Linked DNA regions of Oryzias latipes. The protein of the gene in region 2 interacts with the protein of the main gene of each other region in a pairwise test. Links are inferred from orthologs where the notes say so. Each region holds a gene or a part of one and is shown on either strand. Other genes may lie near its edges.

Region 1 (4,083 bases), on a different chromosome or scaffold from region 2:
TTAGCAGTTCAAAACCCGTCGGCTGAAACCCTCCACGGATGACGAAAGAGACACGTATGAACGACTGAATCATACGAGGAAAATGTGCAATAATGTAGGTCGCGGCTGTGAGACGACCTTCAGGTTAGAAACCTGTAGAAGTCAGAAAACGTGAGAAAAAACTAAATCAGAGCAGATCAGTCTGTTTCAGATTAAAACCTTTTACAGTAAGGCTGAGCCGTCGCTGGTCTGCTGACCCACAATGCACCACAACACTGTTTTGCTGACCCACAATGCTGACCCACAATGCACCACAACACTGTTTTGCTGACCCACAATGCTGACCCACAATGCACCACAACACTGTTTTGCTGACCCACAATGCACCACAACACTGTTTTGCTGACCCACAATGCACCACAACACTGTTTTGCTGACCCACAATGCACCACAACACTGTTCACCTGCTTCCCAAACGGGTTTCAGGCCGTGAAACCTACAACCACCGGCCTAGACGCCATGGACACGTTTGTGGGCGGAGCATCACTAGCCGAGTCAGAAACTGGACCAATCAGATTTCTGTATGAAATCCATGCATACAAATCCATAAACATACTTTATGCTACAGACCCCACAGACAGAAAAGACGCATGGCTGCCCGTGGTCATGGCGCTCCTCATCGGCCCTCTGAGCCGCGTTACCTTGAAGCTGAGGTTGGCGCTGAAGAGCGACGGCACGGCGTTCTCCTTCAGCACGCGGTTGTTGCACTCCCTCTTGAAGCAGTCGCTGGTGAAGTGTTGGGAGCAGATGTTGCTGTACTTTGTTGGTTTGAAGTTGTTCCTCCTCATGGCCGCCACCCACTTCCCGCAAACGTCCGGACGCGCCAACGGGAACCTTGCAGTCCGGGACGACAAACACCACGTTCAGCCCATCGCCGGACACGTTTCTGTGCTTCCGTCTGGTAAACAAATGTTTTAATCTCCAGTAAAGTTCTAAACGTATCTAAAGGTGCAGAGGCTCCCGTCACCGTAAACTCTGCCACAGAGAGCCAACAAGGTCCTGGTAGTGACTTATTCTCCCCCCTCCACGACCATTAACATTAAATTAAATCACACCATCTGTGTGACCTTTTTTGCGCCACATTTGACCCCTCCCCCTGGCGGAGCGGTGAGCTGCAGACCATTTGGTGGTTTAACCCCCCAATCCAACCCCCTAATACTGAGTGTCAAGCAGGGAGGCATTGGGCCCCATTTTTATAGTCTTTGGTATGACTCTGCCTGGGTTTGAACCCACGACCTTCCAGTCTCAGGGTGGACACTGACCACAGGGCCGCTGAGCTGGTTGCATATTCATTTCTCATTCCTGTCAGTCATTTCAGTCTTAAACTGCCATCACCCAATGAGCTGTCAAAGTGTTCCCAGAGGTCTTAACGATGGTTTTTTTTACCATTTTCCTTTTCTAGAACAGTGTCTGCAGAGCGGCAGGAGCTGATCACAAATTCACCTCCGAGTTGTGGGCGGGGCTATTGATGTGGACTAAGCCCGCCCTGATTCCCATCATCCCTTTGCCCCCCACCTAACATTAGCAGAGCAACAAAAATGGCAGCATAACGGAGATATCCAGCCGTCAGCTTTGACTGCAACAGGAAAGTACGGTGGCCCTGAAGTACAAATCACATCAATAAGTCATGTGACGCAAAACCTTTTTAAGATCACAACATACAAACAAATATTAAAAAAAATATACAGAAAACGAAATGAAATGATGTAAAATGAAACAATGAGAACCCGGAAAAGGTCCATAGGACTGAGCTGATTGGACGAAGACGCTTGACCTTCATGTCAGTCAGAAGCTGACATGAAGGTCGTGGATACATCCGTCCCATGATCCTCCAACAAATCCACCTTTCTGGTTTCTCCTTGGGCTTCATTTTCCCAACATTTCTAGGAATAGTTTTAGTTTCTGATTATTTGTTTCGCTTTTTATTGGTCGTTGTGAGTTTTTAAATGCTTCACGTTAAGCTATTTGCACTTCAGGGTCACCGTAGAAAAGATGAACCCATTGAAAGCCTTTCTTTGCCTCTAGTGGGACTCGAATAAACGTGTTTGACCGGTTGAATCCAGTGTAACGGTTTGACACCGTAGGATCACTGCAGGTATCGAACGAAACCGGAGCGGACTACCGTCCTTAAGTCGTTCAGTCCAAACGTCTGTACCGGACAGACCCGGATGAGTGGTGAAGGTTAACCTTTGACCTCCTAAACCTGTTGAAGCATTGCTCAAAGGGTACTCGGTAGTCGGGATTCCAGCAGTCACTCGGTTGACCGAGAACCACCAGCAGCATGTGGACCCGCCGGTACCGGACGGACGGACTCATGACCCAAACTTTCTTTTTTATTTTCCCATCATGCACCGTGGATCGGAGCGCGAGTGAGGGAACGTCTCCGTTAGGTGCGTTTACCGGGAGGTTTTCTTCCCGGAAAACCGGCGCTCCGGCGGCGGAGCGTCCGCCTCTGTGGGAGGGGCTTACTTGTGGAAGGAAATGTCTTTGTCTTTGTGGTACCGGTTCTTGCAGCCGTACGCCGAGCACGTCTGGACCATGGCGGCGGCCCGGACAGCAGCCGAACGCGGACAGAGCGAGGGCTTCGCTGCCACTAACAACTATGGCGGCGGAAGAATCACGTGATCTGTGTTCTGAAACGTGATTGGCTCAGGCTTTCTCTGGGCATGCGCAGAGCGCTGGAGAGCTGCGCTTCCTCCAACGGGCGGGAGTGGAGGAGACGAGTTTGAACCGTCAACAGGCACAGCTGCCATTGATTGACTGATTGATTATGAGAGCATTTCAGGGATACAGAGATCTGTGTCACGTGTACAATAACATTAACGTGTCTTCGTGTCAGTGCAACATTCATACCTTTAAAAAAAAAAAACTTACTAAAATAACAAATAATGGACGAAACGACATAAAACGGGCTTGGATGTAGATATTGAGTAAAATGTCACACAATCCAGCTTTTTGTTCTTTTCCCTTCTCGTTCTTATTAGGAAAATGTAATGAGTTTTATTGAAGCTGCTGTGTTGTCGTGACTCATTCTTTATAATATAAAGTTGTGGGGAAAAAGTGCTTCAATATGTGTTGAAATGGTTGAAAGTAAAGACAATGATCCTAAATATGAAGCAGACGTCCACAGTCTCCTCAGTGACCAGCAGACGTCCAGGTTTCACGGTTTCTGGCGTCTCCAACTGGTTTATGGCGGTTGGAGGGAAATGGTTTTGGGTCTTTCCGTCTCTCTTCACCAGCGGCGTTTGCCTGAAGGCAGCAGGTCAGACGGCGGCGGTCCGGGGCGTGTAGCGTCTCTGATGAGGCTCTCTGCTCTGCTGAGGCAGCGGGAGCTGTGGGGGGGTTTCCAGGGCGGGGAGGGGGCACCCAGCATGTTTTGGGCGGTGTTGGCGAGCCGCCGGAGAGCCTTCCTTCTAGCCGCTTTACGGCGGCCGAACCAGGAGCATCTGCAGTGTTGGTCCACGTTCCGCGGTGGTGAGGTCAAAGGTCACCAGCTGTCTTTGGGTCATGTTTGTCTGAGGGAACGGTCTCTGTTGGGCTTTTCAGCTGCTCACTGGGGTTCATACTCACATTTTCTCTTTGAGTTAAAAAAAGGGAAAGTATAGATCAAGTTGTTTCAGAGACTCACAGAATATTCCTTTTTTTAACTCCTAAAACCTTTTTTAGACATTAATGACCAAAGATTTCTGTCTTGTTTGGTTGATTTGGTCAAAATGATCTGTAGGTGTCCTGGATGAAAGGGGTGGGGGTTGTTGTTCATCCTGTATTTTACTCTAACCCAGCCGTCGGCAGCCCGGGCCGGGCGCCACCGCGGCACGTGGAGGGTTCTTCTCACAATGAGCTTTCTTTCCCTATGAGGTCATAAGGCAAGGGTCCAATCATGCAGTGCCGTTACTGTGACTCCGCCCACCTCTATAAATACTAAGGTTGCGTCCAAATTCCCGCCCTAACCCCTATGTGCAGCACTATTATGTAGAGCCCTGGATTTTAAAAGGAATTTGGACGCCACGTTCACTACTTTTGTTTTTTAACGGCGGATTTGAC
Region 2 (4,412 bases):
CAACCAGGGGTGTCAGAATCCACACCTTTCTTTTGACCAAATGTGTTTTGTTGTTTTACTGTGTTATTTTATCCTGTTATGTTTAATTCTTTCTGCACCATGAGTGAGAGGGAGGGAGAGGAGGATGAGGTTATTTAGCAGCACTAGTACAAGAGTGCAGTCTAAGAACTGAAGTTACAGTCAGACTCATGATAATTAAAGGCATGGTATATATTGTAAATTCACACCATGTCATTCATTTTAATGTTATAGAAATGAGAAAATCTGCAGCCTCTAACTTAGACATATGAGAGTTCAAGAAGTACCATAAATTGAGATGGAAAAACATTTAATTGATTTGGAGTAATATGACATTTAGTTAGATAACTATGTAAATTTGAGTTCTAAAAACAATTAGAGTTTTATAGACGTAAGAAATTAGGTTGAATAAATTTAATTCCATCACTTGTTACCATTTGAATCAATTTTTTTAAGTTCGATAAGTTTTATTTATATACGTCACAATGTCATTTTAAATAAGATCAGAAACTTGTGCGTTTATTTCTCCGTTCTTTTTCTCCAAGCAGAAACTCTCTTTTGCTGATGCAGCCGTGTTACTTTTTGATGGGCGTATAATCTTCATACGCCGTCATTAAAATCTCAGACTCCGTCTCACTGAAGTATAGCGCTCTCTTTTGTTCTCCACGCGTTTCCATGGTGACTTGGGATATCGGCGATCCATTGAGAATGTCTTTATGTACCTGCTGTGCACGTGCGGTAACCCAGGGTTACCCAGTCGAGCGTAATTACGCCAACTCATATCCGGTCTTTTGGAACCGCCATACCCAGAGTAAGCAAGTTCAGGCGGATTTCAGCCAGAGTTCAGGCTTAAAGTCAGGGTAGTTTAAACATGCTTCCTGGAATACCCCCCTGGACTCTGACAACCATGCTCTAGTCCAGAGGTGGGCACTGAGGGCCGCAGTCCTGCATGTTTTCCAGCATACCCTGCTCTGGCATGTTCTGATTGGCTGGACACACCTGAACCAGGTAATCAGCCATGAGTAGGGCAAGAGTATCTGGAAATCATGCAGACACACCGGCCCTCGTGGCCTGGAATTGCCCACCCCTGCTCTAGTCTAAACCAACACTAAGGCTGTTCTTTCCATTGTCTTCTGCACCTTTCCTTTCATTCTTGCTGAAACTTTTTTGTCACACATCACATCTGAATCCTTCCTCAATCTGTTGCTTTGGACTGCTGACCTCTAAATACTTCAAGTCGTCCATCTTCTTCACCCCGGCTCCCTGTAATCTCACCAGAATCCTCCTCATTGTCCTTCTGAGATTGACCTTCACTCCTCTTCTTTCCAGAACAAGCCTACACCTCTCTAGATGTTCCTTCACTACAGAACACAGTGTCATCTGAAAACATCACAGTCCACAGAGATTCTTGTCTAAACCTCGTCTGTCAGTCTGTCCATCATCACATCAAACAATGAAGAGTTCAAGCTGATCCATTGTCCAGTCCCACCTCCACCTTGAAGTCTTCGGTCACACCTACAGCACACCTCACCAACCGCTCTACAGCCAATCTGGTAGAACAGTTCTGTCTGTGGTTCCGTTTTTGGATTTGGTTATGTTTTTCATATTGTATACAGTCACAACCTCCAGCATTTACAGACTTGGGATTCGCCACATGAAAGCATTGAATTGTGCCCCCTTGTGGTTAAATTCAAATTTAAGAAAGAATACAATTAGGATATTTAAGAAAAGAATAAGTGACCTTACCCAGTAATGCTTAGTGGTTTATTTTCGACTTCTTTCAATTTCTTTTTCATCTCAACTGTTCTTGATGGTCTGTGGACGTATTTTCTTTTGCCCGTACATTCATAGGTCCAGTGTCCCAACTCCAAACACTTTTGACATCGTACATGCTGTTTGTTTGCCTCCCTGTAGAAAAAAAAAAAAAGAGGTTTCAGATTCAACACTACAAAAGGAGTACGTTAAATGGGCCAAATCCATAAATACCTGGAAATACTTGATAGTTTTTCACAAGAAAATGTTTGTAATTGATCTTAGTGACGGAGGTTGAACCTCTGAATTTTTCTTTTTAAATATGAAGATGATATATATTGAGGCAGAGTAGCTTCCAAGTTCACAATTAGATTTAATTTGATTTTTTCCACTTTAAAAAAGGCCACTACAAATCCATTTGGTTCATAAAACAATTTTGGCATAAGTAAACCAAACCAAACTAAAAGAAAAATTCAATATTTTATATTACAGTGGATACTGATAAAATCTCATATTTTGAAAAGGATTTATAAAAGTCCTGAAAATTTTGTTTTTTCCTGCGTCAGATTCTTACTAAACCCAATTTTATTGAATTAATTGATTACTACCCAAGTAAGTGAACATAACACGGTCGGTGAGGCCATCAACGATTCACGAACTACTGAATTCTATCCCAACTTTTATGCAGTAAGCTCGTTCTTTATTAGATTGTACACAAACAAAATGTAGTTTTTCCGCCCCTTAATGTCTACTAAAATCCTCAGGAACGTGTGCGGTTGTATCGATAATTAGTTTGGGGCGTTAATGGCGGAAAACAAGTGTGAACAGCGAAAGAAGAAGCGCAGCATCTTAACTGTTTTTAAACAGTGAAATAATCGTTATTTACCGCTTCTATAGGATATTGCACCCAACAAAAAAGTGTAATTTATGTTTATCGATATGTTGTCTTCACATAAATTTGGTATGGAATCAGTAACGTTGTGATAACGAAAACATACTCACGCTTGTCTCCTGGCAATTATTCTGTGCATAGGAGTAGCCATGTTAAAATCTGATGCAACTTCTTCTGTGGTGTTTCTTCACAACGAGCTTCCGGAAAAGTTAATGTATTCAGCGCCCCCAGTGGTAAAAACGGATAAAGCTTTTTAAGGTCATGTTCATTTTTTCCCACTATTTTTGAAATTTTCATAACAAAAATTCTTTATAGTTTCCTTATTAATAAATGCGTTAAATTAATTTAATGCATTTATTAAGTAGAAATAATATTCAGTGGTTCTAATAATTCAACACAGTTACAACATCAATAGTACAAATAAGGAAATAAGCAAACATACAAACTACCTAGATGATGAGTTAAAGTTTGTACTTTTTCAGATTTAGTGTTAAAAATAGTAGATAAACTGAAAAATCATGTAAAAATGTATTTTCTTTTTTAGCAGCAGCAAGATTGTACATTCAACATTTTGATATGGATTTTAACTAGGCCTGCACAATATACCGCAAATTTATCGTTATCGCGACATCAAACTGTGCAATATGCATACCGCAAAAGACGGCAAAATCGCAATAAATGGTTACCTTGACCCTTGTGCTATCCTAAGCACTTTAACATTGGGAGTGGGGTCATCTAGACCCACTAAACAGTGCTCTGAACCTTTTTTCTTCTAGGATTTGTGATCTTCACTGGTGTCCATGGATTACATGAAATCTTTCCACCTTTATCCACCTTTGTCATGGTAGGAAGAACACGTCACTGTAAGGGGGGGTCATCTAAGATAGCACAAGGGTTAAATGTGCTAAAACAAACTCATGGCAGCTTGAAATATTGAATAAATGAAATAAATCCCTTTATGCATTTAACCAATCGGAAGGACTCGTTTACGTTGTTGATCAATCAAATGAGCCCTTTTATGTTTGATGTTTGCCTCCTATGTCGACAAGGGTCATTTGGAGTATAATTTTTATGCTGTTGCATTGAAATGGAAATGATGTTTTTGGTTGGTTTGATATTTGTTTATATACTGCAAATTATATCGTTATCGCAATATTAATCACCAATATCGCATATCGCGAGTTTTCCTCATATCGTGCAGCCCTAATTTTAACAAATTAATATATTTGAATTAGATGAAACAGATACGTTAAAACCTAATTGTCTGCCAATTTCAATATGATGCCAGTATTACCAAGTTAATTAATTGATACACATTCTTTGTACTATTGTAGTTGGGTTGAAGTACTGCAGTTTTGCTTGCATGTTTTGTTATGTTTTTGTACTTGTTTATGTTATTATTACAGTTGTTTTAATCTCATACTCATTATCATCATCATTTAGCTAATTTCTGACAAAAATAAATACAATGCATATTCTTATTAAAGTTGCAATTCGTTTGTTTATTTTTTTTTTATTTCAAATGTTTTTACCATGTATGTTAACAAAGAAAAAAATAAAACAAAAAAGCTTTCTCATAGGACTGTCTTACGAAAAAATTATTATTTGCTCTGAATAAAAAATTTAAAAAGCAAAATCTATGCCTATTGTAGACAAGATCATTTTCATTATTTAGGCTAACTTTGAAAAGCTTAAATCACAAAAGTTTTAATAACAAAAAGTATTATTGAAGATTAGAGTACAGTAGAAT
Region 3 (3,974 bases), on a different chromosome or scaffold from region 2:
GCATTAAACAAGTCTTCACCCTACAGTTTAGTTTATAACGTGTTTTATGTGAAGAAGATGACATTTTACATAATGTTTTTTGGAACAACCCTCTGTGAAGCCTCGCATTTATTTCAGTTTTATGGCCGTTTTGATTTAAAAGAGAAAACGCATATTGTTGGAGCGAATTAAAAAGAATGAACTCGTCTTAAATATTTCCAATACTTGTAGTTTGATGAATTTATTTTAAAATAAATCCGTATGATTAAGGGTTATTCTCGACACCGACTATTTCCCTTGTTAATGTAAAAACCAGAATGGGCAATCTTTTTTTTTTTTCCTGCCGCGTTAGCGCACGAGCTCTTTTTCTTTCGTCACAATGGGCATAACGGCTTGGGCTGTTGGTGAAGACTGCTCCTCACTAATCTTTAACGGTCCAAATGACTGATAAAATGTTGTTTCGTCAACGTCGCGCGCTCGGGAGCTTTTTGAAAAGCTTTCACAGATTCGATTTAAAAAAAAAAGCGACTTTACTGAAGAAGCACGTGAAATATGTCAACGTACTGCACTCACACCGACAGTCTGCATTTTTAACAATTTCTCCCGCCCTCTCCTCCAAAAACCCGACTTGACACCCCTGAGTGGCGTGAAGGACCGCTGTGCACTGACCCGACCCATTATTTGCTATCGGTTGACGAGTTCCTGTCATCTATTTAGCTAAAAAGTAGAGTCAGTCCGCCTTTCTCCGCCTCGTCCAAGTGGCTCTTTATTAATAAACTAGAACATCGAATAAAATAATAATAATAATAAAACTCTGAGGTCTCATTACCATAAAATATACTTTAAAAACCGAGGCTGCGTATTCACACGCCACACCGCCAAAATTAACTGGACTTATCGAAAGTAGCTCGATTTTTGTACAATAAATCCAATTTTAAACCATAATAAAGTATTCTTTCGGCCTTTTAGCACTACATTCAAGTTTGTCCTGATAATTCATAACACATAATGTAGTCACAAAGAGGGACGCATTGTGTTTTCTTTTGTGTGTTGTAAAATGTTAGTCCTGACTCTGGTAATGTGGTGTTTCATTGTGTGTGTGAAGATGGAAGTCAGCGTGATGATGAAGCCAGGCTCAGAGGCATATAAGCGGCGGAGCATGCGCAGTGGCCACTTGTGCCATATTGGAATGAGGTCGTGAACGAAAGCGTGAAGCACGCGAGAAGCTGCACGAGGCACACCAGAAATAGGGGGCCTCAACTCTAAACAGTAATAGCTCCTCTCGTTGCCCTGACGACGGATTCAGCCACGTAAGTATCTTATTTTGAAAGGTCAAACCGGAACGTTGTGGTTCTTAGTCACGCTGACTTTAATATCACTGCGAGCGAGCAGGCGAAGAGGAACGGCATCTAAAAAACCTACTTGGAAAAACTACTTATCGGTAAGGGGTTATTTTTGCGACTAAATATTCACATAGTCCGTGTTGTTTGTCACAAACCGTTGCGTGTGTTTTGCACTGTGGTGGCGCATTCGTCTTTTTTCCCGTCTCTCAAAAAGATGAGTCGGCTTCGGTCGAGTGTAAGCGCCCTTATTGCTCGGCAGCCTGCTCCTATTGCTCAAGCCGTGACGTTCAGTAACTTGATTCGGATATAGGCGATCTCACCCAGCGTCTAAACACTCCCGATTGACCCCGTTAGATTCCTTCTTAAAGGTAATACTTTATTAGTTTGACACAATTGAAATTCGGCGTGTGTAATGTTGCGCGAAGTGTGAAAGTTAGTCCCTCTGCAAAGCCATTCATGGCCCATCTCTCTTTCTGAATGCTGCGGCTCTTCCGAAAAAAAGCGCAATCTAAAGCTAGATACACTTCAAGGACCGTGTGGAAATTTACAGTTATTTGGCCTTGAGTAACTCCTATTTTTTTTTAATAATGTCGAATTCTTACATAATGAAGGTTGCGCGACCCCGTCCGATTTTTTTTAAATCATTATTATTATTTTGTATGTGTCGATCAGTAAAACTAACTGCCGTCTTTTCCAAGTCGATCAGCTGTATGGTGCTGTGCGGGATTTACCTGGCGCCTGTCACACTGCACGCGGACTGATCGCAACCGTTCAATATTCCTCTGCACCTTAACTTCCCTATTGTGCAACTTGAGTGGGTCGCCGGCCGCGCGCTGTTTCAGTTGACGTCCCGCTCTACGCAAAAAAAAGAAGGAAAACAGCAACGCGGCAAGCGCGTGGGGTAGTTGTGTGGAAAGACGGCCATCGGTGCTCACTGTATGGAAAATATCTTCATGTTGAACGCTGTGCTTGGTCGGTACTTCTAGAAGGTTGGAGGACTTGGTGACTTCCCGTCCAGCTCTAATTTGATTGTCTTCATGCTTTTATTTTGGTGAATAATGCTGCTGGTAGTTGCAGTTATTTACATCTCACTGGGAGGTATCAGCTGCCTTTGTGGGGGCCACCTCTGCGCCTTCACTCATGTTCAGGACTTTCTTTCATATTATTGGCTTAAACAATAAAATGTAGTCTTTTATATATACAAAAAGTAGTTCCAGGCATTGGCACCAGTGTTTCTGATGAAATCAGAATGTTTACACAACATAAATCAAATTGAAATTGCAGCAATAACTCAAAAATAATGTCCTGTTAATTGCTTTTACACACAGCTTTTTCTTTTTTCTCCCCGAATTTCTTGACAATCGTTTCTATTTAGTGTGTCATTTTCAGAGAAATGCTTTTTGCAACAAACCAATCAATTCCAATATAAAATGCAACAATTCAACCAAACAAAGCCCAATTCATGTGACACCTAAAATTATTACTAAAAAGCTTTACAAAGATGAAACAAGATTGTAGAAGGCTGATAAATGGGCTTAATTATTCTGTAATATTGTCAGAAAAATGCCAGATCTATAAATATAAACGTAATAACATATTTTATTAGGCTTAAGGAAATCAAACTATGCCCAACCTGTTCTTTTCACTTCTGTGCAGCAAACACTAAAAAAAAAAGATTTTGCTTTATACTTTTTATAGAAAAACAGAACAGTGATGACAGGAATTGATCAAAGTAATGGGTGGTGTTGTGTGCTGTTGTGGCAGTCAGTCATTGTGCTCTCCATAAACCACAACTCTTTGTCTGAAATTGTTTAGGCTTCTTGAAGTGTGTTTTTCTTTGCTATCTAATTTTAGTCTGCTCACAGATCCTGCTGGTTGATCTCTTCCTTCTAACAGTTTTTCAACTACGATGATACCAATTTTGTTGCCAAGAAGATGTGGTTTAAAGAAAAAAAAAATGTAAACATTTATTTAAAAGCAGGGCTTTTTTGTTTTGTTTTTTAGCTTGTATCACCACTGTGTTGATATTTGAAATAACCTGTTCCTCCCGTAGGGGCAGCTTCACAGTTGCACTCTGAATTAAGGAATTATGCAATTATCTCATAAAAGCACATAACGGCATGCACGAAATGTGGGAAGATACTCAAAAGTGGAGAACCTTTTTTTTTTTTTCAAATCAGCTGGAGAGGTTTAGATATGACGAGGTTCTGTTTGGAAAAGCCTTCCTCCTTTCTAACTTTTTGAGTTCAGACAAGTTTTGCTTTTTAGAAAAACTTGGTGGCAAGTTGAGGGCTGATGATAACACGGCTGGATGAGTGCTTACATTTCGGGGCTTTTGTTGTTTGCGAGTGTTTATGCTTTAGCCTGGGTACATTTCGGCTTGGTTCTTTCTCTTTCAGGTTTCGTTCAGGTTCTCCGTTGGTGCAAGAACCTGAATTGTAGACTTCTGCTCACAGACCACTCGCTGTATATAGAGGAAGTTGATTTTCTTCCTGTCTGTCTTCACAAGCTGATGCAGCATTGATGCATTGAACTTTTGCAGAAATGCAACGACTAATGCGCTTCAGTTATAGTACATTGTGCACATTTGTTTTTACATAGACTGAGCCTGAGCACTTAAATACTGTATTCAAATAGCTGTGCAGCTTGACT

The links. The genes of interacting proteins can lie anywhere in the genome.
Region 1: the proteins of zcchc10 (region 2) and thap1 interact in binary tests that used the Homo sapiens proteins (3 or more experiments, as listed by UniProt). The two-hybrid records come from large-scale screens. The link is inferred for Oryzias latipes from reciprocal best matches to the Homo sapiens genes ZCCHC10 and THAP1.
Region 3: the proteins of zcchc10 (region 2) and sfmbt1 interact in binary tests that used the Homo sapiens proteins (3 or more experiments, as listed by UniProt). The two-hybrid records come from large-scale screens. The link is inferred for Oryzias latipes from reciprocal best matches to the Homo sapiens genes ZCCHC10 and SFMBT1.

The regions. Positions count from the first base shown.
Region 1 is NC_019870.2:29,950,368-29,954,450, reverse strand, and holds the start of thap1 (THAP domain-containing protein 1), read right to left. Parts: upstream 2,801-4,083; 5' UTR 2,580-2,800; coding exon 2,509-2,579; exon of another isoform or gene 2,440-2,508; intron 874-2,439; coding exon 681-873; intron 1-680. UniProt on the Homo sapiens protein: DNA-binding transcription regulator that regulates endothelial cell proliferation and G1/S cell-cycle progression.
Region 2 is NC_019872.2:6,666,246-6,670,657, forward strand, and holds the start of zcchc10 (zinc finger CCHC domain-containing protein 10), read right to left. Parts: upstream 2,892-4,412; 5' UTR 2,814-2,891; coding exon 2,773-2,813; intron 1,927-2,772; coding exon 1,765-1,926; intron 1-1,764.
Region 3 is NC_019863.2:15,515,757-15,519,730, reverse strand, and holds the start of sfmbt1 (scm-like with four MBT domains protein 1), read left to right. Parts: upstream 1-1,174; 5' UTR 1,175-1,289; intron 1,290-1,307; exon of another isoform or gene 1,308-1,420; intron 1,421-3,974. UniProt on the Homo sapiens protein: Histone-binding protein, which is part of various corepressor complexes. Mediates the recruitment of corepressor complexes to target genes, followed by chromatin compaction and repression of transcription.